Linked DNA regions of Callithrix jacchus. The protein of the gene in region 2 interacts with the protein of the main gene of each other region in a pairwise test. Links are inferred from orthologs where the notes say so. Each region holds a gene or a part of one and is shown on either strand. Other genes may lie near its edges. The genes, in order: LAX1, NDN, EEF1AKMT1, E2F1, SERTAD3, APBB1IP and NEFL.

Evidence for each region.
Region 1: the proteins of NDN (region 2) and LAX1 interact in a two-hybrid assay, tested with the Homo sapiens proteins (2 studies listed by BioGRID and IntAct). The link is inferred for Callithrix jacchus from reciprocal best matches to the Homo sapiens genes NDN and LAX1.
Region 3: the proteins of NDN (region 2) and EEF1AKMT1 interact in a two-hybrid assay, tested with the Homo sapiens proteins (2 studies listed by BioGRID and IntAct). The link is inferred for Callithrix jacchus from reciprocal best matches to the Homo sapiens genes NDN and EEF1AKMT1.
Region 4: the proteins of NDN (region 2) and E2F1 interact in a two-hybrid assay, tested with the Homo sapiens proteins (2 studies listed by BioGRID). The link is inferred for Callithrix jacchus from reciprocal best matches to the Homo sapiens genes NDN and E2F1.
Region 5: the proteins of NDN (region 2) and SERTAD3 interact in a two-hybrid assay, tested with the Homo sapiens proteins (2 studies listed by BioGRID and IntAct). The link is inferred for Callithrix jacchus from reciprocal best matches to the Homo sapiens genes NDN and SERTAD3.
Region 6: the proteins of NDN (region 2) and APBB1IP interact in a two-hybrid assay, tested with the Homo sapiens proteins (2 studies listed by BioGRID and IntAct). The link is inferred for Callithrix jacchus from reciprocal best matches to the Homo sapiens genes NDN and APBB1IP.
Region 7: the proteins of NDN (region 2) and NEFL interact in binary tests that used the Homo sapiens proteins (3 or more experiments, as listed by UniProt). The link is inferred for Callithrix jacchus from reciprocal best matches to the Homo sapiens genes NDN and NEFL.

Annotation. Positions count from the first base shown.
Region 1 is NC_133520.1:30,827,008-30,831,142, reverse strand, and holds the start of LAX1 (lymphocyte transmembrane adapter 1), read right to left. Parts: upstream 2,801-4,135; 5' UTR 2,450-2,800; coding exon 2,361-2,449; intron 1-2,360. UniProt on the Homo sapiens protein: Negatively regulates TCR (T-cell antigen receptor)-mediated signaling in T-cells and BCR (B-cell antigen receptor)-mediated signaling in B-cells.
Region 2 is NC_133507.1:5,529,829-5,533,553, forward strand, and holds NDN (necdin), read left to right. Parts: upstream 1-1,325; 5' UTR 1,326-1,413; coding exon 1,414-2,379; 3' UTR 2,380-3,225; downstream 3,226-3,725. UniProt on the Homo sapiens protein: Growth suppressor that facilitates the entry of the cell into cell cycle arrest.
Region 3 is NC_133506.1:140,451,201-140,455,336, forward strand, and holds the start of EEF1AKMT1 (EEF1A lysine methyltransferase 1), read right to left. Parts: upstream 2,801-4,136; 5' UTR 2,769-2,800; exon of another isoform or gene 2,073-2,768; intron 1,443-2,072; exon of another isoform or gene 1,371-1,442; intron 1-1,370. UniProt on the Homo sapiens protein: Protein N-lysine methyltransferase that selectively catalyzes the trimethylation of EEF1A at 'Lys-79'.
Region 4 is NC_133506.1:5,612,550-5,616,730, forward strand, and holds the start of E2F1 (transcription factor E2F1), read left to right. Parts: upstream 1-1,381; 5' UTR 1,382-1,500; coding exon 1,501-1,761; intron 1,762-4,181. UniProt on the Homo sapiens protein: Transcription activator that binds DNA cooperatively with DP proteins through the E2 recognition site, 5'-TTTC[CG]CGC-3' found in the promoter region of a number of genes whose products are involved in cell cycle regulation or in DNA replication.
Region 5 is NC_133523.1:35,998,470-36,002,612, forward strand, and holds the start of SERTAD3 (SERTA domain-containing protein 3), read right to left. Parts: upstream 2,801-4,143; 5' UTR 2,600-2,800; intron 2,535-2,599; exon of another isoform or gene 2,337-2,534; intron 898-2,336; exon of another isoform or gene 843-897; intron 291-842; 5' UTR 285-290; coding exon 1-284.
Region 6 is NC_133508.1:26,771,529-26,775,028, reverse strand, and holds part of APBB1IP (amyloid beta A4 precursor protein-binding family B member 1-interacting protein), read right to left. Parts: intron 1,742-3,500; coding exon 1,449-1,741; intron 1-1,448. UniProt on the Homo sapiens protein: Appears to function in the signal transduction from Ras activation to actin cytoskeletal remodeling. Suppresses insulin-induced promoter activities through AP1 and SRE. Mediates Rap1-induced adhesion.
Region 7 is NC_133514.1:16,534,021-16,537,149, reverse strand, and holds the end of NEFL (neurofilament light polypeptide), read right to left. Parts: coding exon 3,034-3,129; intron 2,487-3,033; coding exon 2,347-2,486; 3' UTR 501-2,346; downstream 1-500. UniProt on the Homo sapiens protein: Neurofilaments usually contain three intermediate filament proteins: NEFL, NEFM, and NEFH which are involved in the maintenance of neuronal caliber.

The DNA.
Region 1 (4,135 bases), on a different chromosome or scaffold from region 2:
ACCTGGCCGTTTATCATTTTTTTTTAACTAAAGAAAAAAAAAACTTTAAGACAGTCTCCATGTGTTGCCCAGACTGGTAACTGCTGGGCTCAAGTTATCCTCCTGCCTCGGCCTCCCAAAGTGCTTGGATGATGGGTGTGAGCCACCATGCTCAGCCTTGTTTATCATTTGACTCTCCAACTTGACTATAAGCTTCAGGAGGTTATGGACTCCTTTATCCTGTTTAACTAGTGCCCTAAACAGGGCTTGGTATTTAGTAAGGCCCCGATGAATATTTGTTAAATGAATGAGTGACTGAATTAATGAAAGAATTAATATGGAAATAGTTTTGAGTGTAGTACAGCCATTATGGAAAAACTATGGAGGTTCTTCAGAAAATTAAAAATAAAATTACCAAAGCTGGGTGCAGTGGCTAGCTCCTGTAATCCCAGCGCTTTGGGAGGCCAAGGTGAGTGGATCACTTGAGGTCAGAGTTCAAGACCAATCTGGCCAACATGATGAAACCCCATCTCTACTAAAATTGCAAAAAAAAAAATTAGCTGGGCATGGTGGCACATGCCCATAATCCCAGCTACTCAGGAGGCTGAGACAGGAGAATTGCTTGAACCCGGGAGGTGGAGGTTGCAGTGAGCCAAGATCATGCCATTGCGCTCCAGCCTGGGCAGCAGAGCGAGACTGTGTCTCAAAACAACAACAACAACAACAACAACAACAACAACTACCATATGATCCAGTGATCTCACTACTGGGGATATATCTGAAGGAAATGAAATCGGTATTTGAAAAGCATGCCTACACTCCATACTTATTTCACTATAGTCAAAATGTGGACTCAACCTACATATCCATCAATAGATGAAAAAAAAGTGAATACTAATCAGCCTTTAAAAAAGAAGGGAATCCTGTCATTTTTGACAACATGAATGAAACTAGAGGTTGTTATGTTAAATGAAATAAGCCAGGCACAAAAAGATAAATACCAGATGATCTCACTCACATGTGGAGTGGACAGCTGAACTCATAGAAATGGAGGAATGCTGGTTACCAGGGAGGGGTTGCAGAGATGTTGGTCAAAGGATTCAGAATTTCACTTAGAGAAAGAGTAAGTTCAGGAGATCTGTTGTGTAACATGGTGACTATAGTTATAAAAATGTCATATTCTTGAGAATTACTGAGAAAGTTTTAGTATTCTCACCACAAAAATATTGTGAAGTAATGTGTATTTTCATTGGTTTAATTTAGCTGTTGCACAATGTATACATATTTCAAAACAATAGGGTATCATGATAAATATATATAATTTTGATTTGCTAATTAGAAAGAAAGAAAGAAATACTTTTGGAGGGATGCTTCAGGCTTCTGAGTTTTGTGAATTCATTGCTCATCAATGCTTGTATCTACCTGCAAGTGACATGTGTTTGCCAGGCTAATAACATTTATTTCCCAAAACTACTGCAATTTTATTTTATTTTATTTTTTGAGACAGAGTTTTTGTATTGTCACCAAGGCTGGAGTGCAATGGCATGATCTCGGCTCACTGCAACCACTACCTCCAGGGTTCAAGTGATTTTTCTGCCTCAGCTTCCCAAGTATCTGGGACTGTCGGCAGATGCCACCACGCCTGGCTAATTTTTGTGTTTTCAGTAGAGATGGGGTTTCACCATGTCGGCCAGGCTGGTCTCAAACTCCTGACCTCAGGTGATCCGCCCACGTTGGCCTCCCAAAGTGCTGGGATTACAGGCGTGAGCCACTATGCCCGGCCTCAAAATGACTGCAATTTAAAAATTGTCATTGGGTTATATTTTTATTATAATACTGAAATTTATAGCTATCAATGTTTTTAAAGTTTCAACTGCTGATGGATTTTTAGTTTTGTTTGTATGAGATTGAAAGGATTAGCAGTAATTTATACCCACGATTAGTTAGTTCTGTAAGAATTTATGTCCTAAAGACATATCTTTATTACATCTATCACTACACTTTTTTACTCATGGCAAGTTTTCGGATCTCAAAACACATCCTTGGAAAACTCAGTTTTTTGTTTCTGTCATGGGGACATCTAGGAAAGATTGACACCAGGGTTCAGGGCCTCTGAGAGGTGAGAAATCCAACTAAAGCTAGTCCAGGTTTTCAGGACCAGTGTTATCACAGTTTTTCTTCAACCACAATATCCTCTTTGTTTCCTCAATACCTGCCTTTCCCCCTAGCACCCCTGAAGAAAAGCCTCCAATCCTAGAGTTTAGTGGTCAGCCTGGGTGCTGAGAGGTGGCATCACTGCTGTATAAGAAGCTCTTAGGAGTGGACTAAGACCTTCTGCCTCAATCAGGGGAGGGTGGAGCTCACCACCCTGAGTCACTTACCTGTCTGGGCTGCTGGGAGTCACATGCAGAGTGTTGAACTCCAAGATCCTCTCTCCGATTGTCGGAAGGGTTGTGGTGACACCATCCATTGTCTCAGGAACCTTTCAGATGCTCTCTGGATTCAGCTTCTAAGTTTCTTTGAATCATAATCAGTTACCCAGCATGTCTATCACCTCCACCACCCCCAACAAACTTCCTATCTTGTGTCTACCTCTGAAGTGTCAGGCTGAGTTGACCCAAAATACATAAGCTCAGGTTTGGTTCTACCTGGATGTGGCTAATGCCCACTGCAGGAGTGCAATCTCATCCGGACGTGGTGCCTCCGAGTGAGGTGGCTCAGAGAGAATCTATGGCCTCTGCCTTCTGGTGGAAACATAAGGGGCACGGAGGGGGAAACTGCCAAGAGGCTCAAGAGAGGCTCCGTGAGAAGCTCATCTTCCTTCAACACCCAAAGCAAAGTGAAAAGAGCAAACCACTTTGCCAGAATGGAAACAGAGAGTCAGTCACCGGAAACAGCACCACCAATGTGCTAATGAAATGCAGGGCACAGGAAACGCTGCTCAGTTCTTAATCTGCTAGAAGAAAACATATCTTCCCTGGGTTTGCCAGGTGCTCTGTGGTCTATGATGAGTGTGATTAAAAATGGGGCAGGGTGGTAGAGAACTTGTGATTCTTTACCCTGGGGTTCTGAGACATTTAGAGTTTTACAAGTCTTCGAATTTATAGTGTTTTCTAAGCAAGTCTAAGGAGCACTGGAGGTTGCCTTTTAGAGACAGACAAATGCAGATCTCTGGGACCCTCCTCTGATTCAGTAAGTGGAGGGCAGGCTTTGGACATCGATGCTCTCCAGGTGATTTTGACAGAGCTGGTCTGTATGTCAAGTTTCGGGAATCTCTGCTCTGGGCACTACCTTAAGAATGGATGCTATGCTGGGTTAGCAGGGCCTCTGCTCCCCTAAGGTGACCTTCCACAGCTCCTGGCTTCTGGGAATCTCCTGTTCTCAGGGTTCTTTTGAAGATCAGTCATAGTCCTACTTGTCACACACCTGTCACAGAAGCTGGATAGTTCATCCCTGAGAGCTACCCAAAATCTTCCAAACTGTGAGGATTGGTCGAAATCTGTTGCTAGCTCCCCTCCCTTCTTGAGCCTACTAATTTCTAGAAACACTCTTTGCATCTTGGGAGAGTCCAAAGAGAAAGGGCCACTAAGACTGTTGTGAGGATGTGAAGAAGAACCTCTCTGATTGCACTTTCCGCAAGGAAATGGATTCCCAGATAATGAATCGGGGGGAAGACCAGCAGCACTCATGCTTCCCTCCCATCTCTTCCCAGTGGACACTGAGGTCCTCAGCTTTCCTGAGCTGGCAACCCCTGGCCTGTCTGGGTCTAGACTCTCACAGAGTCCCCAGGGGCTGCAGACTAGCCCTGACCGGCTTTCCAAGGAGCTGTATCATTCCAGGTCCCGGACTCCTTCCCTCCCAGGAGCTTCACCTTGCAGGAAGCAGAAATGGCTCAGAGGCAGCTGATTCTGGAGCTGGAACCCGGGTCTCTGCCCACTTCTTTGGATCAGGTCTGGGTAGGAACTAGGACTACTCACAAGATTTATCATGCTGATGGGACTGTGTGTGAACCAGGAACTTGGAAAGCAGTACAAGGGAAGGGTGCATGGAACCAAACCTCAGAACCATGACTGCTACTTAAAAAGAGAAAAGTTTTTTTGAAAGAACTTTTCCATTGCATGTGATCATTTCAGGGCCTCACTTATCTTATCTTTCC
Region 2 (3,725 bases):
CAGAAAACCCTTCAACACCAACCTGCTTGAGGAAAATTAAAGTGACAAATGAGAAAAGATAGATACTCATAGTGAGGACTCTAGACATGTCAAGACAATTTTAAAACATGCTTTGGGCTTCAAGTGGCAATAACTAGACTCGAGACAACATATTTAAGAAGCTGCTGATGAGAGGGAACCCGGCAAGGGCTGAAGGACCACATCAACGCAGACCAAGGATGCTGAAGCAGCATGGAGGCCCCTGGTTGTGGAGGCTCCAGCAATGCCCCTTTTTCCACGGACAGCCTCTAGGAGTGACAGCTTTGCCTTGGCCCACTGGGAATCTGTTTTCTATAACTGGAAAACAGGGCTATCCATATGTTGCCCCCGCTACCTTTTGGTCATCTGAGACACCGCCAGATATTGCCCATGGGACCTATATCTTTTTGGAGATCTCAGGAAGGAATGATTTGGGTGTGACTCCCAACACTGAGGACTCAGTAGCTTCAGAGAAGGTCCTGGGAGAAGGTGAATCGGAGAATGAGGTGCTGGGCAGAGGGAAAAATGCATTATCATACAAGTTTGTGCTAATAGATATGGCAATCCTTCTGTTATGGACTAAGCATGGAAAAATAAAAGAAAATGGAATCAAAGTGACTCAAAGTAAGTGTAAAAGCCAAACCTATGCCCATGAAAGCATCAATGATGGTCTAAGCCCACTGCCTCCTGAACAAGTTCACGGCTCACGCGGGTAGGAAATCACGTTAACGACACGCTGCATTTCTCCTTTCCTTATAACCGCATTTCTCCTTTCCTTATAACCCCTCTGATGTGGTAGGGAGGGAGTCAATCAACTTTTTATTGGAATTTCTCAGGATTCCAACCTCGGACATCCGCCTCACAGTTTACACGTCTTCTCGGACAGCCCGACCGTTCCTCTCACTCGTTCACATAAAGCTCCAGTTTGCACAGCCTCCCAGACCTTCCTCTGGGGCTCTCATACTTAACTGGATTCTGGATATACCCAGGCGAGCATTTCCCAGGAAAGTCGACCCCAGCATCCCCAAAACCTGAGTTATCATCTTTCCCCAAAACCTGCTCCTTCTCCACAGGCATCCATCTCCCTCCTCTCCTACCCTGAACTTCCTCGGCCGGAACAGGAAACCCCGGGATCGCTGTCCCGCCAGGTGACGCCTCACCGCGGACCCTCCCCGTCGGGGCCCCTCGCGGCCCCGCCCGCCCCCGGCCGCCCGCCCGCCCTGGCCGCGGTCGCGCAGGCGCAGTGCCGCGTCCCGCCGCCGCCCCGCCCTGCCCGCCGCTGCGGAAGGCGCCGCGCGCAGCAACGCGCACTTCCTCTCCAGGAGTCCGCGGAGGGAGCGCAGGCTCGAAGAGCTCCTGGACGCAGAGGCCCTGCCCTTGCCAGACGGCGCAGACATGTCAGAGCAGAGTAAGGATCTGAGCGACCCTAGCTTTGCCGCCGAGGCACCCAGCTCCGAGGCGCAGAGCAGCCCTGGGGTTCCGGGGGGGGTTCCTCCGTCCGCGACCCTGGCGGAGCCGCAGAGCCCTCCCCTAGGCCCGACGGCCGCCCCGCAGGCCGCGCAGCCGCCCCAGGCCCCGATCGAGGAGGTCGACCCGAAGGCTTTGCTGGAGGCCGCAGAGGAGGGCCGCGCCCACCAGGCCCCGAGCGCGGCCCAGCCCGGCCCGGCGCCGCCCGCCCCGGCGCAGCTGGTGCAGAAGGCGCACGAGCTCATGTGGTACGTGCTGGTCAAGGACCAGAAGAAGATGATCATCTGGTTTCCAGACATGGTGAAAGATGTCATCGGCAGCTACAAGAAGTGGTGCAGGAGCATCCTGCGGCGCACCAGCCTCATCCTCGCCCGGGTGTTCGGGCTGCACCTGAGGCTGACCAGCCTGCACACCATGGAGTTTGCGCTGGTCAAAGCGCTGGAGCCGGAGGAGCTGGACAGGGTGGCGCTGAGCAACCGCATGCCCATGACGGGCCTCCTGCTCATGATCCTGAGCCTCATCTACGTGAAGGGCCGCGGCGCCAGAGAGAGCGCCGTCTGGAACGTGCTGCGCATCCTGGGGCTGCGGCCCTGGAAGAAGCACTCCACCTTCGGGGACGTGCGAAAGCTCATCACCGAGGAGTTCGTCCAACAGAATTACCTGAAGTACCAGCGCGTCCCGTACGTGGAGCCGCCAGAGTATGAGTTCTTCTGGGGCTCCCGGGCCAGCCGTGAAATCACCAAGATGCAAATCATGGAGTTCCTGGCCAGGGTCTTTAAGAAAGACCCCCAGGCCTGGCCCTCCCGATACAGAGAAGCCCTGGAGGAGGCCAGAGCTCTGCGGGAGGCTAATCCCGCTGCTCACTGCCCCCGCAACAGTGTCTCCGAGGACTAGCAAGGTCTGGAGGCAGATGAAATGCTTTCTGACCCTCACCGGGGCTGTGGAAGGGTGGGGGTGGGTCATTAGAGTGTTCGGGATTTACAGTGCAGTATTCACGTGTAACTTTTAAGTTTTCAGTACAGTGCTTTTATACCTTTAATGCAATGTTGTATTCATTTGGGTACTCTTGTGTAGTATTTAGGATGTATGCATGTTTGTTTATATGTAAGCTTGGTTGGTGCTTTCGCTTTTGTGCTACCTTTCTTGGATTTTTGTACCTGAGACATGCTAAACTGACGAAGTACCTTGAGAAAGTTTGCATCTTATTATTTTATATGGGACTGGTGATGTGTGTTGGGGTAGACTGCTCCTGCAGAGTTTGGAAGAACTCACCAGCAAAGCTGGCCTAACCAAGAGAAAAGTCAAGGCTCTTCGTGACCTTGCTGGGCACAGAAGACATTCTCGTGGAGTAAACTGATTTGAACTGGACTGGTCTCAATGTGAGCACTTGGCACAATTTACTAAACACATATACAACCCTACCGTGAGTCAACTTTAAAGTAAACATTAAAGATTCTTGTGATACAATCATTTTTGGAAAAGTGTACTCTTATCATTTTAACAGAGCACTATGATTGGGAATGAGACAATTCTCTATTTTACAATGTGTACAGATGTAACTGTTTCCCCTAATAGGGTGGGAAAAATCGCTACTCGTGATTACTCCTAAATTTGTGAAGGTTATAGTTTTATTGTCTTTAAATGTAATTGTTTATTTCAAAAACATGCACAAATATAAAGTATAAAAACAAAGCAGTATGATTGTCCATCATCACATCATATGAGAATAAAAACTAAAAATAACTTCCTTCCCTTAAGTTTCTATATTTTATCAAAATTAATGGATGTCTTGTGGGCACTTAAAGAGTGAGACATTGTACTCAGCCCTAACATGTATTTTTCCCCTTTTATTTAACCCTCACAACAGGCCTGTGAGGAAGGCATCTACTGCCTTTGCACCATGGAGGAAACAGGAATAATGTAGGTAATTAACTTTCCATAGCTTGTAAAGGTTAGCAAGAGAAGGAGCTGGCACTTCAACTCAGAATGAATCCAGAGCCCACATTTGTCCCCACCTGCCTACAATCCCTCATACACCCTGTGGCTTTTAGGTTATTTATTTTCAAACTTATTTTTACATTTTACGTGGGAGCCCACACTCCCAGCTCCCACCTCCCACACTCACATGCATTCATGGGCCACACAGAGAGAGAGGCTAGGAATTTTATTTTTCTAGTTCTCACAATATTTTGGAGAAAGCAAGATTATTCTGATTGTGTAAATTAAGAAATTTTCATCTT
Region 3 (4,136 bases), on a different chromosome or scaffold from region 2:
CATGTTGCCAGGATGGTCTCGATCTCCTGACCTCGTGATCTGCCCACCTCAGCCTCCCAAAGTGCTGAGATTACAGGCATGAGCCACCATGCTGGGTCAAGTTTTTGTATTTTTAGTAGAGATGGGGTTTCACCATGTTAGCCAGAATGGTCTTGACCTCCTGACCTTGTGATCTGCCTGCCTCGGCCTCCCAAAGTGCTGGGATTACAGGCATGAGCTACTGTGCCCAGCCTAAAATTGTCTACCTTCATAGCTGTAAAAAGCGATTAAGTTCCAACCCAAGAATTTGATCCCAAAATAAAAGTTTAAAGTGTACCAAATCCATTCCTTTGATATTCATTTTCTACCATGTAGGAAGCACTGTTTTTGGTGATGAATCTCAAAGTCCTTATGCTATTGGAGCTTACATTCTAGAGAGGCAGAGACAGACTAAAACATATATATGAAATAAATGTTAAATGACAATAAGATTAATGGAGGAACACATGGAGAGCACAGGTGGCAATTTTCGGAATCATAGAATGTTTTCTGCATTGTTAAAGCGAGTTCAAAAGTGCATCACTTCTTCTAATGAAGTAAATGAAATCTGTTAGCAAAATAAACATTAAAGATTAAATGAAATGGCCAAGAGTGGTGGCTCACATCTGTAATCCCAGCACTTTGGGAGGCCGAGGCGGGCAGGTGACCTGCGGTCAGGAGTTTGGGATCAGCCTGGCCAACATAGTGAAACCCAATCTCTACTAAAAATACAAAAATTAGCTAGGCGTGGTGAAGGGTGACTGTAGTCCCAGCTATTCGGGAGGCTGAGGCAGGAGAAACACTTGAACTGGGGAGATGGAGGTTGCAGTGAACAGAGATCTTACCGTTGCACTCCAGCCTGAGCCACAAGAGGGAGAGTCCATCTCAAAAAAAAAAAACTTAAACGAAGTGAACCTATTTTTAGCTATGTTTTAAGTTACTATTTTTATCATCTTTATTATTTTTAGAATTTCTAAGGGGGGGTTGCAAGATTTTTTTCAAATCCAAAAGTGCTGTGAAGTATTGTTTTATTACTATTCTTTTTAAAAAATTTTTATGGCTACTCTGGGCATACTGTCTATGGGGTAGCCCTGCACCACAAGAGGCAGTTAAAAAAATTTTTTTTTCTTTAAAAACTTTTACCTATGGATTATATCATAATTACATTATTATTAAACTGATCCTGGACCTTATGTGGCTCACACTCTAGATCAGCAGTTCTCATAAAACCAGGAGCCCTTTTGACATCTGGCAATGCCTGGAGACAGTTTTGGTTGCCATAAATGGAAAGGAGGTTGTTACTGGCATAGAGGCTGCTGAACTTAAAATTCACAGGACAGCAGCTCCACATCAAAGAAGTATCCTGCCCTACAAGCTGCGGTTGAGAAACTCTAGGTTAGGCATACACATGGCGAACACCAAAGGTAAGGTGGAGGCCCTCTACAGGGCAGCACCATTCACACCATGGGATCAGAGTAGAGGGCGAGTGGGCAGAGGCGTGAAAGAGCAGGTGGAGCGTCAACTCGGCCTGAGGAAAAGGTAAGGATGAAGAGTGACGATTCCAGAAGATGGAACAGCATGAGCAAAGGGGCGGACATGTTGGCTTGCAGCATAAGCAGGGGTTAGCCAGCTTCTGATGGGCTGTGATTAGTCTCTTTTTGTATACAATTACTCAATTTCCATGTTATCACATTTACTTAGGGCAAAACCACCATACTGTAATCTCCACAATCATTCTCGCGTGAAATTAGGTTAAGACAGTGTGATCTAGCAGAGAGAGGATTAACCTAGGAGCCACTCCAGACTCCAGGAAACCGCAGGAGAGCAACGCTCCCTCTAGGAATGGGGAAGGCCTAGATATTCTCCAAATATTTTTTGTAGATTGCTGTATGATTCTACCCTTAATCCAATTTACATCTAGAAAAGGGCCAAAGTTTTTCATTCTCTTTGCATCTTTCAGTCCCCCTGCCTCAAACAGTTCTCTCTTGCTTTTCAAAATTCTATTTATTTCTGTTGTTTTAAAATTAACTTTTAAAAGGAAGTAACGCTTACAGTTAAATGCAGGTCGCAGGTGTGCAGTGCGACGTTGTAACGTACACCCCATCAAAACCCCTATCAGGAAGACCTTCCTGTCTGACATGTGGCTTCCTCCGGCTAGAGACCCACGAACATCCCAGCATCTCTCCCGCACCTCCGAAGCTACTGCCCTTTTTCAAGTAAAGTCGCCTGCGTCCTAGTCTATTCCACCTCCCAAGCCCCGGCACCCGGCAGAGGACCCGCCTCAGAAGCTCCAGCAACCGGCGCTGCGGATACCCGCTCTCCAGGAGCGCACAGTAAAGCCGGGCCCGGCATTGAGAACTTCTGAGGGCAAAGATGGAAAGGACAGAGGCCCAGTCCAATTTCTGCTCGGAAGGGAGGCCTTCCCGCGCTGCCATAGCCTGGGGGTTAATTTCCCCCTCAGCATCAAGGCTGCCTAAGGCCCGGGCGCCAATGTGCGCGGCATAGGACGCGGCCCGTTCCGGCGACCAGGACACGAGGCCCGGCCGCGCCCAATCGGCAACCAGGGTCCCCTCTCAGGCCGGCGCCAGCGCCTTCCCTCAGGCATCCGCCAGCCACCGCTAATTAAAGCTTTCCACCACTACAGTGCTGGAAAAGGTGAGAAACTAACATGCAAAAGGAACCTAACCGAGTCCAAAACCCCTCGGCTGCGCGCAGTCAACCCCACGTCCGCGCCCGAAAGCGTCACTCACCAGCCGCGCGTGCGCAGTCACCCTGACCAGCCGCGAGCAGTGGGAGGGGCGGGCCAGTGTCGAGCTCGCACAGGCGCCGACACAGGCGCAGGCGCACACGCCTCGGCTCGTGGGCAAGCCAGGCAGTCTATAGGCAGCGTCTCAATCCCGTGCTTAGAACCCTGGGGGCTGTGACCAACCCGGAGTCGTTCCCTCAAGTGTCTCATCAGTTGCCTCCAAGAATGGTGGCAATAAAAATTTAAGGTCCTGGCCGGGCGCGGTGGCTCACACCTGTGATCCCAGCACTTTGGGAGGTCGAGGAGATGGGGAGGATCACCTGAGGTCAGGAAGTTCGAGACCGGCCTGGCCAGCATGGTGAAACCTCGTCTGTATTGAAAATGCAAAAATTAGCCGGCTGTAGTGGCGTGGGCCTGTAATCCCAACTACTCGGGGGGCTGAGGAAGGAGAATCCGGGAGGCGGAGGGTGCAGTGAGCCGAGATCGGGCAGCTAAACTCCACTACACTGTATCAAAAAATAAAATAAATTTAAGATCCTAAAGTTAAACCTACTGTTTTGCACCGAATCATGTAGGTTTTTAAAGTCAAGGCTTCATCGGTCTCTTGTCTACTTAGTCTTTTAATCAAATCAAAACGTTGACTTCAATTGTTGACATCAAATTGAGGCTTTGGTAAAAATTGGCGCGGGGTGGGGGGAATCTTTAAAACTCGCTAGTCTTTCAGAGTCCACAGTGTTGAGTGCATTAATCAATCAATCAAATCAATCAATCAATCAATCTATCTATCTAGCACTGATAAGTATATACGATTTTTGTCAACAATACCTTAATTATCTGGCACACACAGGCACTGATTACAAGGTTTTCCTAGGTTTTGGCAGTTATCAAATTGTAACTGATACAAAGTATTTGTTTTCAATTCCCCAAGAAATCAATCTACATTATGCTCCTACCTCCCTTTCCTCTATTTTCTTTACCACTTTCGTGATCTTGCTAAGTTATATTAATGCTGAGCAATTTGAAAATCCTTTCTGGTATAAGGTAAGAATATAAACGAACTGTTCAGCTGGCAGATGCCGCCATTCAGTAAGTAGTTCATGAAGCAGTAGGCTTATAATGTTGGGCGTACTATCATTTCTATTTTAAGAACTGTTCCCAGTTTATAATAACTCATGCTACATTTTGACTTTGTTTTGAATTGATGACAAGTCTATTAACCAAATATTTCAAGATCATGTGTATCCTGGAAAAGGATCAGGAAGAAAATATATAAAACAAACTAAAAGAAATTAACACAAACCAAGAAACAATAACCAACTTTTATAAGTGCATTTTTTACGGAGGTGTTGTTCAATAAACAAAACTGCCTTAG
Region 4 (4,181 bases), on a different chromosome or scaffold from region 2:
TGCCCTCCTCAGCCTCCCAAAGTGCTGGGATTACAGGTGTGAGTCACCGTGCCCCGCCATGCCTCTGGTTCTTTTATAACCTTTCTCAGTGCCTGCTCTGGGTCAGGCCAGTGTTGGGAGGAAGCGCTACTGAGCTTCTAGATTGGCAGGGGAGGCAGATGGAGAAATGTGTGGTCAGTGTTGGAACAGAGGCAGCAGTGGGCAATAGAGGAAGTGAGTAGATCCTTGGGAGGGGTCCCTAGAAGAAGTGATGTGTTTTGTTTTTGTTTTGTTTTAGAGACAGGATCTTGCTCTGTTGCCCAGGCTGGAGTGCAGTGGCATGATCATAGCTCACTGCAGCCTTCATTTCTCGGACTCAAGCAATCCTCCCACCTCAGCCTCCCAAGTAGCTGGAACTACAGATGGACACCACCACGCCTGGCTAATTTTTGTATTTTTTGTAGAGAAGGGTTTCACCATGTTGCTCAGGCTGGTCTCAAACTCCTGGGCTCAAGAGATCCACCCTGCCCGTTGATTATAGTGATTCCAGGCATGAGCCACCGCTCTGGACCAATGCTTCATCCTATTGTAAACGTCTGTTACCTCTCTGTCCCCTATCCAGTAGACTGTGAGCTCCTTAGGGCCACGAATTAAGGATGGGGGCACAGAGTTAAGGATGGGCACAGAGCAGGCTCTCCTGACGTTTGTTGAATGAGTGAGGGAATGAATTAGTTCAAGCAGACGCTTTACTTGGCCATTGTAGATTTTGGCTAAAATGGGACTTGCAGGAAAGCCCCAGGCTAATATCTGGCGGGTCGTCCCTCCTCATTTCCTGGTACCGCTCTTCAGCTTGGGCTTTGGGTGAGTGGGATAGGGCTGGGTGCAGGGTTAGGATAATGTCATGGGTGTGGTAAGTTGAGGATAGGAGAGGTGGCTGATGGCTGGGCTGTGGAACTGATGATCCCGAAAAGAAGAGGGGGCAGTTTCTGGAGATGTGGGCTGAGGTTGTGGGGGCTACAGGTTGAGGGTCGCGTGAACAGAGGCTCTGTCCTGAACCTGCACTATAGAAAGGTCAGTGGGATGCGGGAGCGTCGGGGCGGGGCCATGTTCCAGTGTCCCCACGCCTCCGGCAGGGGACGCTCGGCCTGGGGGCGGGGAGTCCGACCGCGCCTGGCACTGTCTGGACAAAGCCTGCGCGCGCCCCGCCCCGCCATTGGCCGCGCCGCCCCGCGCCGCCCCGCGCCGCCGCCCCATCCCTCCCGTCGCCGCCGGTCCGGCGCGCTATAGCCAATAGGAGCCGCTGCCGTCGACTTCGTCACGGCCCGGGCAGCCAATCGTGGCGGCGCTCGGCGGCTCGTGGCTCTTTCGCGGCAAAAAGGATTTGGCGCGTAAAAGTGGCCGGGACTTTGCAGGCAGCGGCGGCCGGGGGCGGAGCGGGATGGAGCCCTTGCTGGGGCCTGCCGCCATGGGCCCGCGCCGCCGCCGCCGCCTGTCACCCGGGCCGCGCGGGCCGTGAGCGCCATGGCTTTGGCCGGGGCCCCTGCGGGCGGCCCATGCGCGCCGGCGCTGGAGGCCCTGCTCGGGGCCGGCGCGCTGCGGCTGCTCGACTCCTCGCAGATCGTCATCATCTCCGCCGCACAGGACGCCAGCGTCCCGCCGGCCCCAGCTGGCCCCGCGGCGCCCGCCGCCGGCCCGTGCGACCCCGACCTGCTGCTCTTCGCCACTCCGCAGGCGCCCCGGCCCACACCCAGCGCGCCGCGCCCCGCGCTCGGCCGCCCGCCGGTACGGACCCCAGGGACGCCGCGCCGGCAGCACTGCCTGTGCCCCCTGAGCAGACCTGGGCGGGTGCTGTGTTTGGCCTGGAGGCGGCAGGGGGCGGGGGAGGGGTGGACTGAGGCACCCAGGCTGGGCGGTGCAGAGCCTGGCTTGTGCCTCCAGGCTCCGCCCTGGGGTGCGGGGTGACCTCGGGCCGGTCCCTGTTTGCTCCTCTGCTCTGGGCCTGAGCTTCCTCACTAAAGCCTCCCCAGCGTCGGACTCAATGATAATAATGGCCCACGTGTATTCAACTGGCGTTTATTGCACGCCAGGCCTCGGCCGACTTCAAGCCAGCTGAAACTCACAACCCTGCTGTAAGCCGTGTTGTCACTGTGCCCAGCTGACGGAGGAGGACTGAGGCCCAGAGAGGGACAGTGACTTGCCCCTGGTCACACGGCTGCAGGTGGCGGGGCTGGGATTTGAACTGCGGCCTGCTGGCTTCAGATCAGAATTTGCATCTCGGTAGTGAACACAGCTGCTAGGGGAAGTGAAGGCGGGGCGAGGAAGGTCCTGGGGCTTAACCGTTGGTGAGCCACTGAGGAGACCCTCCTTCCTGCCTCGATGCTGACTGCCAGGTGCAGGACTGGCCGGCCAGGCCTCTGGGGACAGCCCTCCTGGCTGGGAGGCCTTCTCTGCAGGGGCGGGGCAGCTGGACCAGCTGCTGATCTCCTCCCTCTGCCTGTCCTTCCATCTGCCACCCTCCACCCTCCCAGGCCCTGGTTGCCATGGAACCTCATTAATCAGACAGACAGACCCCTGAGCCTCTGTAGAAGAACTAGGTGGGCTGGGCCTCTGGGAGCTGGAGAGGAGGCCCCCAGTGCCAGGAGAGAAAATGTCCCAGGGAGATCCTTTAATAAAGCCGTCCCTGAGTGCTGAGCTCAAGACCAGTTCAGACGGGGCGGGGGGTGGGGGGGGGGTGGTGCCCAGAAGAGGTGGCTGAATTACAGTGGGAGAAGGGATTGGAGGCGTAGAAGCCTGGAGCTGGGACCTGTGGGCTGCAGTACAGGGTGTGGAGACCAGTTTGACTGGCGCAGCCTATGGGTGAAGGTGGGGCTCTGATGTGCAGGCAGGGGCTGGTCAAGCAGGATGGGGTCTCAGCAGGGAGCTTGGAGCAAGTGGGAGGGGTGAGGCAGGGCTTAGGACTAGGAGGTAGAAGCTGCCTAACTGCTGATGGGGGTGAGGGTAGCAGCTGGTCCCTGAGGCATCTAAAGGGGCTCCCCCACCCCCTTGGCCTCATGCCCAGTGCTGCCTTCCGGAATCACCACGATGCTAATAATAATAACAATAGCAGCCACCATTGTTTTGAGGATGTCTTATGTGCCAGGCTCTGCCAAGAGCTTTACCTAATTAACTCATTTAACCCCATCAGCAGCAATCCCTTTTTACAGATTGGGAAGCTGAGGCCTAGAAATACTAGAATCTTCCCATGTCATTCTGCTATTGAGCGGGGGGTTGAATCTGTATTTCCTGTGAGGTTGACCTCTGGGATGCATTGCTTTCTAGGGATGCTGATAGAGGCTGAAGAAAGGGCAGGAAGGGCTTTTGGGGGCCCTTCATCTTAATGAGTGGGTGGGAGGGGTGGGCCAGGTGGCTTGTCTCCTGTACTCCGGGGGTTTGTCCCTGTGGGTAGTGCTTGGGACCTGGGCAAGCATCCTCCATTCAGCTGTGTGACAAGCATATAGCAGGCTCAGGTCTGTGGAAACCTAACAGAACCTGAGGGTCTTGTCCTCAAGGAACTGAACAGGATTATGGATTCTAGGATCAGAAGGAGAAACGGGGCAAAGAAGAGTGCCCTCCACTCTACCTGTCAGGGGCAGGCTTATTGGCCCGGGCATTCCATTCATTCAACAGTTGTTGAGTTAGTGAATGCCTAGGAGGCACTAGGCTCAGAGAAAAGGAGCCCCACCCTCAGAGTCCTTCAGGGCCAGGAGGTGTTTTCTGTACTTAGGGGCAGGAGACTGGAGCTGAAGTCCAGAAGGTCCACAGGTTCGGCTTTTGGCCTCTCTGCACTGGCATTTGTCTGGCACAGTCCCTGGAATAAGCTACAGACTTAGCTTCTGTACCAGCAGGCATTCGTTGAACACTGTATACCAGGCTCTGTGCAATTCAGCCATTTCTCTTGGTCCTGCCTGTCCACTTCCACAAACTCAAATATTTTAAACATAATACATGTTTACTGTAGAAAACTTAACTGTTTTTTTTTTTTGGAGACAGAGTCTCATTCTGTTATGCAGGCTGGAGTACAGTGGTGTGATCAGGGCTCACTGCAACCTCCACCTCCGGAGTTCAAGATATTCTGTGCCTTGGCCTCCCAAGTAGGTGGGATTGCAGGCACATACCACCACACCCAGCTAATTTTTGTATTTTTAGTAGAGACAGGGTCTTGC
Region 5 (4,143 bases), on a different chromosome or scaffold from region 2:
GTGGCCGACAGGGAGAAATCCTCCTCACCCAGGAAGAGGGGCTCAGGGGGCAGGGCAGGGGCAGGAGCCAGGGGAAGTGCGGCCTGCAGTTGCTGGAGGGTGTTGTGGATGAGGACATGCCTGCGGAGGCTGGGTGCTCGGGGGCCCAGGCTGTGCTGGACTTTCTCTAGGGAGATGCGGAGCAGGGCTTGCTGGTAGTTCCGAAGGCCTGCTGAACTCCACTCCCACCTCTCCTCCTCCTCCTCCTCTAAATCAGAGTGTTTCCGCTTCAAGCCTCCCACCATGATGCCCTGTGGAGAGAAGAGGGGCATAGGAGCATGTCAGACACCAGGCACTGTACTGCTGGCTCAAATCCCACTTTCTCAGGCCAACTGAATTGTTGGTGATTTTTAATCATCTGAATCTCAGTTTAATCATCTATAAAATGAAGGCTGTCTGAATCCTACAAGGTTAAGGAGGTGAATACATATAGGATCAAGAAAATAAGGGCTGGGCAGGTGGCTCACGCCTGTAATCCTGGCAATTTGGGAGGCCAAGGTGGGTGGATCACTTGAGGTCAGGAGACCAGGCTGACCAACATGGAGAAACGCCATCTCTACTAAAAATACCAAATTAGCAGGGTGTGGTGGTGTGTGCCTGTAATCCCATCTACTCAGGAGGTCGAGGTAGGAGAATCGCTTGAACCCTGGAGCCAGAGGTTGTATAGTTAGCCAGGATCGAACCATTGTACCATTGTACTCCAGCCTGGGCAACAAGAGCAAAACTCTAGCTCAAAAATAAATAAGTAAATAAATGAAAATAAGATCTGGACTTAAGTACAGCTGGATTTAAATCCTACTTACTTGCCTGTTGTGGTCTCAAACAGGAGTGCATTTACATCCATGGGGATTTCCTCATCTGCAAAATAAGGATCCTAACTCAAGTTCCTCTAAGCCTTAAAACCGTTCTTCCACAGTACTCATTTCTTCAAACATGGAGCACGCAAGATAAGTGTGGAGCAAATGAGACCTGAATTAGAAGTAGGGAACCCCAAATTTTCTGTCTTGGAAACCGCTCAGCTGCGTGATTGTGGTAAGTGACCTGAGTGAATTTCCTCTTAGGGCCTCAGTTTCCTTATCTGTAAAACGGGGACCTTAAAAAAATACTTCTCACCACCGCTGTCAAGGAGATGAAAAGTATGCATAGGGCCCATCACACAGGAACTGCTTAATAAACAAGAGTTCTGTTTGTTTTGTTAGAGACAGGTCTAACCCGGGGCTGAGTGCAGCTGCGCGATCATAGCTCACGGCAGTCTCCAAGTCCGGAGTTCAAGGGATCCTCTCGCCTCAGTTTCCTGAGTAGCTGGGATTACCACCACACCCGGTCTCGATCAAGAGTTAATTGCCAATTATTCACCCAACAGATTTACCGAGTGCCTACTATATTCGAGCCTCCTGGAGCCCTCTTGGGGCACCTGTATGTTGTGATTCTTCTTCTACAGTCAGGATATTTCTGTCTATGCCCTCTTCCTTAACCGACGGGGAGCGCTCCCAAGAGTAGGAAAGGGGCCCTGCCTCATTCCCGCTGCTGCGCTTTCAGCTTCCCCCAAAGCGCGCCCCATAGGAAAACTTGCTAGAACTCAGCTCAGACCAAGCCCCGCCCCCAGGGGACCCACCCAATCAGGCCTCGGTGCTGCAAGGCCCCGCCCCTTCACGGGTCCTTAGAGACTCCAGAAACGCCCCAATTTGGCCCAAGGTCTTCTGGGAAACGGGGGCCAACAGCCTCCAGGTACACGAATTGACGTCGGGCACGCACCACAATCCCCAGGGGGCTCCGCTCCTCCAGGGGACGAACCCACTCCCCCGCCCTCCCTCAGGGCATGCGCACAGGGGCAAGGGCGGGTGGGGGAAGGGCACCCGGACGTCCAGCTGCCGGCGGCCGCCGAGCCCCGCCCTCCGTTGCCTCCCGGGCGGTGAGTCTGAGCTCCACGCCCGGAACACCCCTCCCCCACCCCAGACTCCGGCTCTAAATCTGCCTTCTCCTGGTGCCTCCGTTCCTTCAAAGTCCGGGATTCTCGTCCCGAGACCCAAGTCCGAACACACCGCTCAATGACTACAATGCTACGATCTAGTTCGGGAGACTACGTATCCTAATTTTGATACTTCCACTTCTATTCTCCTGACTTTCAAACGCCCCTGGACTTCTCCAAACTCGCTGTCCGGCTCCAAGACCCGAACATTGAAATCTTTCCGGCAACCCCCTTTCTTTCCCCCACCAGTGCGTCTTGGAGTCCAAGAATCCTTGACTCTATCTCGCTTCTCCAAATGCTCAGGATCTCACTCTCAAACCTCTCATACCTTTTCCAAGAACACGATAACGCCCCGAATTCATCCTGTCCCGAAGACCCAAGTGGAATCGAATCTCCAGGTTCCCCATCTCAAAAGTTCCTCCCCTCTGTTCTCTCGCTTCTTCAAACGCCCCACGTCCCAGTTTCGAACTCCCTCCAATTGAAAATACTGCCCCAACCTTGCCTCCCCTCCGGGGTCTCGAACTCTGTCTCGGGTCCCCAGACCCTCCCTATTAACACCCTGAATCTGAGACCCCCCCACCCCGGTCTCACCCAGACCCCGCCTCCGCAGATCTCCGGGGCGCGCCTCTCCCTCCTCCAGCCCAAGGTAGATTCCCAAGCCAGGCTATCGCTCTTCACCTCAGCTACCAGGTTCTCCACGACCACCTTCAGGAACGCCAGCAGCGTCGCGACCAGCCAGTGCCGGGACCCACCAGTGACGGGCTGGGACCTCGCTCACCGCGGCGGGACCTCTCCGTCTGGCCTCGGGCCCACCCATTCCTGCCCCGTAGCCGAGCCGCGATTGGCTGGAGGCCTGCCCGCCGCGGGGCGTCGATTGGCTGGGCGGAGCCACCGGCCCTGGCCCGGAGACGCCGGACCCGCCTACCCCTTCCTAGCGCCCTGAGCCATTTAAAGAAGTGCTACTGGCAGGGGGCGGGGCACCGCCTCGGGGGTGGAGGGCGGTGGAGCCAGCAGAACCGCTTCCTTTCACTCAGCTACCGTCTTTGCTCCAAGAGCGTCACCATTGCTTCCTGTGGTCCCTTTTTGATACGTCTGGACCCCTCCGCGGAGCCACAGAGGCTGATATGATCCTCCCTACCCTGCTGTCCAGGAGGGCGGGGTCGAGCAGCCGTAGGAGGCCGTGCCCCGGGGGTTCCGAGGGCGGACGCTGGGGCGCGGGGGATGACGTAGCAAAAGACCAGCCAATAGTGTGGTGTGGCCGTGTTGCCTAGGTGACCGGAGTCCCGCCCCCTTACTGCCCTTCTCTTGTTTCCCCCCGCGCCTCACGTTACTCCTCAGTCCCTTCTAAATCCCCTGGTTTTCTCAGCACCTCCTCTGGTGGTCCCTTCTGGGACACCCTCTCTCCTTCCCCGCCCCATCAAGATGACGACTCCGCTTCTGTTCATGGCTTCCTACCGCCCCGAAGACAAACTTCAAACTTCTTCCTTTTGCCACAAAGCCCCTAACGACCTGGCCTGATGCGCTCTCCTGGTTCTTTCCGATCCTACCCCACTGAGTCACTTCGTTTTTCTAAAATGGCTTCAAGCTCCCCTTCCCCCATCACGAAAACGTAAGGATTTTGCATGTTTTCTTCCCAGCCTTAACAAGTGTCTCCAACAATGCCAGGCACGCAATAACTTCTCAAAAATGACAACAAAAGGCTTCTAAATCTTTATTATTAATAATATATATGTATATTTTGTCGGGTGTGGTGGCTCACACCTGTAATCCCAGCACTTGGGAGGCCGAGGCGGGCGGATCACCTGAGGTCGGGAGTTCGAGACCAGACTGACCAACAATGTTGAAACTCTGTCTCTACTAAAAATACAAAAATTAGCTGGCCGTGGTGGCGCACGCTTGTAATCTTAGCCACTTGGGAGGCTGAGGCAGAAGAGTAGCTTGAACCCGGGAGGTGGAGATTGCGATGAGCCGAGATTGCGCCACTGCACTCCAGTCTGGGTGACAGAGCGAGACTGGGTGACAGCCTGACAAACATGGAGAAACTCCGTCTCTACTAAAAATACAAAATTAACCAGGTGTGATGGTACATGCCTGTAATCCCAGCTACTCTGGAGGCTGAGGCAGAAGAATCACTT
Region 6 (3,500 bases), on a different chromosome or scaffold from region 2:
AGTATTTTATGAGCCCAAGCTCTTTGATTTTTGCAAGCTAAGGCTCTCTTCTATTTATAATGATGAGGAAATAAGCTGTTCTGGCTACATTCTGATTACTTGAATATGGGCATGTATCTTTTTATAGCAGTGGCTCTCAAATTGTTTTTTGAGCCACAAGCTCCTTTAAGAAAGCCCATAAAGCTTCACAAGTGCATTCAACTTGTACTTTGTTTGCTTTCAGGGGATGCAAGGCCCCCTCAAAATCTTCACGGACCCTACATTAAGAGTCTCTGTTCTATACTGATCTCCATTTTCACGTAAGTTTTTTTTTTTTTTCAAGATGGAATCTTGCTGTGTAGACCAGGCTGGAGTGCAGTGGCGCAATCTCGACTCACTGCAACTTCTGCCTCCCGGGTTCAAGCAATTCTCCCTGCCTCAGCCTCCTGAGTAGCTGAAATTATAGGCACCCGCCATCATGCCTAATTTTTGTATTTTTTAGTAGAGACAAGGTTTCACCATGTTGGCCAGGCTGGTCTTGAACTGGTGATCCCTTGGCCTCCCAAAGTGCTGGGATTACAGGCATAAACCACTGTGCCCAGCCAAATTTTTAAATAATAAATACACAATAGAGCACCGTGTGTGATAGAGTACAATATAATATTTGATTTATATTTAATATTTGTTCATTCTAAAGGCATTATATGACCTTTCAGGGTCCCTAGGGTCTTATTTGTGAGTACCAATCATTGTGACACAGTGCCACAAATGTGGAAGCTGCAGGAAATTGAGCAGAATTTTCCTCTAAAATATTTGGCTTACTCTAAACAAACAAATAAAAATCCTTAAAAGTGCTCTTTTTACTTTTATGAGAGGCATACTAAGAGTTAATATGCCAAATAAAGATAATTTAAGCTTTCCAGTTGTCTGTTTTTCAACATTCAGAAATTTATCAATCTCAAGAACTCATCACCTGCCTGCCTCATAATACCCTCCCCGACTATGACATTACAAGTGATACTTGGATGTACTTGTCCTACTGAACAGGGCTGCCAAGTTCAACAAAATTCAATTTTGCTCTATTCAGAAAATGTATAATGAATGCCTTCTATTCTCTATGTACTGAGCGAGGAACAGGGACATGGAAATATATAATCAGTTCCACAGTTCAATATGATGTTAATAAAACATTTCCCCAAAAGATTGAGTTTTATCAAAGAGTGTTTGCATATAAATATAGTTTTTAAGCAAACTGTAGTAAATTCTGAATATGGCCCTAATACATTCTTGATACACACCCATGTGGCTTGTTTAGGGCGGGTTCTAGCTCTGCAATGAGCATGCTCTGTATCCTCCTTTTTTGGTATCTCAGAGCTTTGGATGTACAAACTTAGGAATGGAATGATCACTGCAAAGAAGGTAGGTAGTAGAGATTGATGGCCCTGCCATCTCTGGTCCCACATGCTTACCTGAGAGAGAGGGTCAGGAGGTGGTGGTGGCAATGGAAGATCTAACACAGGATCAGCTGGTGGAGGTGGTAAGTCTTCCTTATATTGGCTGATACCAATGGCAGCAGCATTTGTTCCATAACCAAGAGGGGCTGCACTGCTGAAATTTGATGCCTGTAGAGATGCTGAATGATGTTGGTTCTGTGAGGACTCTTTCTGTGCCTGGATTGTCCTCTGCTCAGCCTCACTTATGTCTGCTACCAGATCTGCCATGAGAGCATCTAAATCTTGGTCTTCCAGTGCATTTAAGGACTCTAGTGGGGAAAATCACATGAATGGTAAAAACAAGAATTTGCATCTGGAAAAACTAAAAGAAGATAATTTTTAAGAATAACATTTGAGTAGAAAGGAATAATTATTTTGATTTGTTATGATATAATGAGAAGATTGAGAATATTTTAATTCAACAGCACAAGCATAGGAATTCCTAAGAGGATTGCTGCTGCATTTGTCGAGTGCTTAATGCGAGTGAGTTTCTAACACCAAGGAAAAAAAATGGAGGAAATGTGTTCTCTACACTGGGGCACCTGACACACCAGGTATAAAGTCAAATCCAAGCACACAAATACATGCCTAAATAGGAAGTTCTTGCATTATAGTGTAAGATCTAAGAGTTTTAAAAATTGGGGGACGGGGAGCACTGGCAATAGATGGAAGGGGAGTTTTCCCTAAGCACTTGGAGGGCAAACAGAGTACTGCTGATATTTAGAAGAAATTGGGTTTCAACCAACTGGGTTTGATGTGCTTGTGACTTTGGGGTGAAGATGGAGCTTCTATAGGCTCACCACCTAACTATAGTAAACTTAATATTCAGAGAAAGAGCAATTTTTGTTGCTGTTTTTGAGACAGAGTCTCACTCTATTGCCCAGGTTGTGCTGTGGTGTGATCTTGGCTTACTGCAAGCTCTGCCTCCCAGGCTCAAGCAATCCTCCCAGCTCAGCCTCCCAGGTAGCTGGGACTACAGGTGCATGCCACCATGTCCAGCTAATTTTTGTATTTTGTGTACAGACAGGGTTTTGTCATGTTTCCCAGACTGATCTCAAACTCCTGGGCTTAAGCGATCTATCTACCTCACTCTCACAAAGTGCTGGGATTACAGGTATGAGCCACTGTGCCCAGCCAAGAGCAATTAACAATAAATAGCAGAAATTAAAGCACCATAGGTGGCAAGAAATTACAAAAATTATGAGATTGAATGGTAGAAACTTTATGAAGATGGCAAGCCGGCAGTTAACTTTTAAAGAAAGGAAAGACTTAAATTTTCAGAGTGAGAGGGAGGAAGGAGAGATCACCTTAGGATTTCTTCCATATGTGAGATTACTATGGTAGAGCAGATGTGTGATCTTGAACATTGATTAGATCGTGTGGTGTACTGGGGGTGGTGTTGGTGAGTAGTCTTGATGGAGTACTTTGATGATCAGGCATATATTATATGATGAATATAATGAAGAAAGGATGGGCAGGAAGGAAGTGATCCATGAGGAGAATTCTAGCTGCTATAGATATGATGAACCAGACTGAGGAAATGGGAGCAGCTGGAATGAAGCCTACTCAGTAACAAATAAGCTTTGTGAAAGGATACATTGTCAGACATCATCATCATAAATGCCACGCAGCATACAACATTAATGCTAATAGTGCCAGTGTACAGTACTTGGACTAAAATTTCGGTTTCCTAAATGTGGACAAAGAGTTTATTTTACTGTAAGCCATTTTTATACATAACTTTTTTTTTTTTTTTGAGACAGAGTCTCACTCTGTCACCCAGGCTGGAGTGCAATCGCATAGATTCTGGCTCATTGCAACCTCCGCCTCCCGGGTTTCAGTGATTCTCTTGCCTCAGCCTCCCGAGTAGCTGGGATTACAGGTGCACACCACCATGCCCTGATAATTTTTGCAGTTTTAGTAGAAAAGGGGTTTTGCCTTGTTGGCCAGGCTGGTCTTGAACTCCTGGCCTCAACAAACGATGGGCAGGAAGGAAGTGATCCTCTTGCCTAAGCCTCCCGAAGGGCT
Region 7 (3,129 bases), on a different chromosome or scaffold from region 2:
TGGGAGAACAGAATACCAGGGTGGCTGGAGTACCTGAAGTGGAGGGAAAGGCTGTACAATGAAATAAGGTTAGAGAAGTAGATAGGGGTCAGCACTATGCAGGCCTTGAAGATCACATTTGAGATTTCGGTTTTCATACTAAAAGCAGGAAGCTATTAGAGGGTTTCATTCAGGGGGATGAGGGAGACCAAGAGGAGGCCCTGGGAGAAGGTTAGAGTGGTGGCGGTATAAATTGAAAGGATTGGAAGGATTTAAAATGTGGAGGCGTTATCACTATAACTTGGTGATAGGTTATTCTAGAGGGGCAGAGGAGAGGCAATGGGAGGTAGGCTGTCATTCAAGGTGTCTGTTTAATAGAATCAGATGATTAGGGAGAGGGGATCATTCACTAGGAGAGGAGATACTGAAAGAGAACCACAAATTTAGGGGGAGCAGAGGGAAAAGGGGCAATGACCACAGCACAAAATTTGGGGAAATGTTAAAAAAGACTTCAAATTCAATTTAGGTTTTCTGGTATTTTATTATGGCACACAGGGTAGAGAATGGTACAGTGTTCTTACTTCCACCAAGGAGTTCTCAGAGCATCCAGCGATTTTCATTTGGCTAAAGTTACTTTTTGCATGTAGCTTGCATCTGTTTGAGACTTGCCATGTACATCATCCCATGTCTACTAAGCATAAATGTGAAAAGCTTGGTTTCTGAGGAGTTGTCTCCCCTTCACAGGAGCCAATACATTGAGAGTTTTCATAATTCCAGTCCATACCATCATGGCAAAGAAACAGCTTACCTATTTCCATAGTGACATATATTTAACTAGATATAGTTGGTACAAAGGGATTAAGTAACTTTAAATGGAGACCACTTTGGTTTCAGTTTAAATCCATAACTTATAAAGATTGTCTAAAAAACAAATATTGAATGAAATTAGCTGACAAAGCAATTGTTTCAGAATAAAGGCAGAACAGCAGATAGTCAATAATATCTATATATTTATTCCACATCAAATGCAAGTGCAAGAGCGTTCATAACTTTTCGATAAACAGAGAGGACATATGAGGTGTGTATCTGATAATATGTCCAACCAGTCAAGCTATCAGTGAAATCCAAATATCTTCCAAGACACATGCAGAGCAATGTCAATGTAACATACAAGCATATTACCTCCCCCCTTAAGTGATTCATAATTTCATTACCTGTATCTGTAGTTTTTTAAGGTTTGAAATTGTGTGAGATTAAATGCTATTTACTTGAGGCAACAGAATTACGCTTAACAACACACTAAATCATGAGCTCAGAATTGCAGGCAATATGTTTGCAGTGGAGTGACAAATAACCTTTGATAGTCCCTTCTCCTGAAATTATATATAGATAAGTCATTCCTTCTGATGGTACCACGTTCTCAGGTTTTAACCTCTGCCCATGATATTTAGACTATATTTTAAAATACAGTTACAGGGATGAATATATGGGATTCATATTCTAACCATATTGCATTATGACATAACAGTTTGAAATGACCTATTTATTGTGGTTCCATGGTATAATGGCTAGCACTCTGGACTCTGAAATGACCTATTTACCATAACGAGTATATCTGTCAAATATTTTCAGAATCGCTCCCTAGAAAGCCATCCCAAAACCTAACACAGTATATGCTATGGGGCAAAGTCTATTGTTTTTATAGACATTCTCATTTACTCATGTTTATTATCAGTAACATTTTTGAGGGGAGAGATTTCATGAATAGTTATGACCTAACTGTATCCCTCGGAATTTCCAATGAGGGAACAAAAAGAAAAGTCTTGGTAATTGTTAAAACTTGGAGTTCTTATGGAGGTCAATAGTCCACTGGTATATACTTTACACCAGTGCCAACTTTAAGGTATTTTGATTAACAACCAGAGCAAAAAATACATCATTAGGTATAACTTTATTTACTATTTATTGCACATAACTCAAGGTCTTGAACTGCTAACCACCAAAGGTTCAAAGGACTATTTTTCCATGAAGTTTAACATTAACATTAGTGAATTCATTTACTCATGTGGTGTTTTTTATTGTAAACATCTGAATCATTCACATTGCCATAGTTCCTGAACTCATAAGCGTGGACCATGCACAGGCTGGCAGCAAGCCAGAAAGCCACTCTGCAAGCAAACAGATACTCTGCATAAAGAGGAAATTCAGAGCACAACATTGAATGTCCAACCTAAGTCATCTCAGAATTATACATATATTGACTTTTTAATTCACACAGGATCTGGAACTCAACTGGTTGGTCGGTTGGTGATGGGGTTGACCTGATTTCGGGAGAATTGTTCCTGACATAATTAAGGAAATGGGGGTTCAATCTTTCTTCTTAGTTGCTTGCTCCTCCCCAGCACCTTCAACTTTCTTCTCCTCCTCTTCAGCTTCTTTGGTTTCCTCTCCTTCTTCAACTTCACCTCCTTCTTCTTCCTTTGCTTCTTCAGACTCCTCCTTGGCAGCTTGAACATAAAAAGAAAGTGTACAAAATCCAAATCCAAGGTAAGGCCAGTCAAAACATGGCTGTTAAGGTTTTATCTGTGAATGCAGATGAAACCGTCAGAGTGCTCACCACAACCTCCCAGCTCCATTCTCTCCAAAAGCACATGTAACAAACAACGCTTGCCATGAATAATTTGCCACTGAACACATATTTAAATGGAATGAGACCACTTCTAGGCATGGAAAGCTCTGCTCCTCCCAAAGATTTAACCTCACTATTTTTTTTAGGTGTCTGGTATCTATTTTTATTCCTTAGGACACCGACCTGTTATGTTAAATGAATGTATTTAAAAATGAAATTTTTGACCAATTGACCAATGAGGTCCATTTTGACCTCATTCAGAGTAGGTGCTTAGAAAAGGTTTGTTGAACAAGCAGAAAAATTATTTATGCTTCTAAAATCATATATGAATAAATAAGCAAGGCTTCATTTGTCTTATCCACCACCTAACAAATATCCACACCCAGTTTGCACTTGAAGTTGCAGGGGTTTGTTTCTTATCATACCTTCTTCCTCTTCGGCTGCCTCCTCTTCCTCAGCCTCCTCCTTGTCCTTCTCCTCCTCCTCGGCTTCTCCTTCAGAGGGAGGCTCATCCTTGGCTT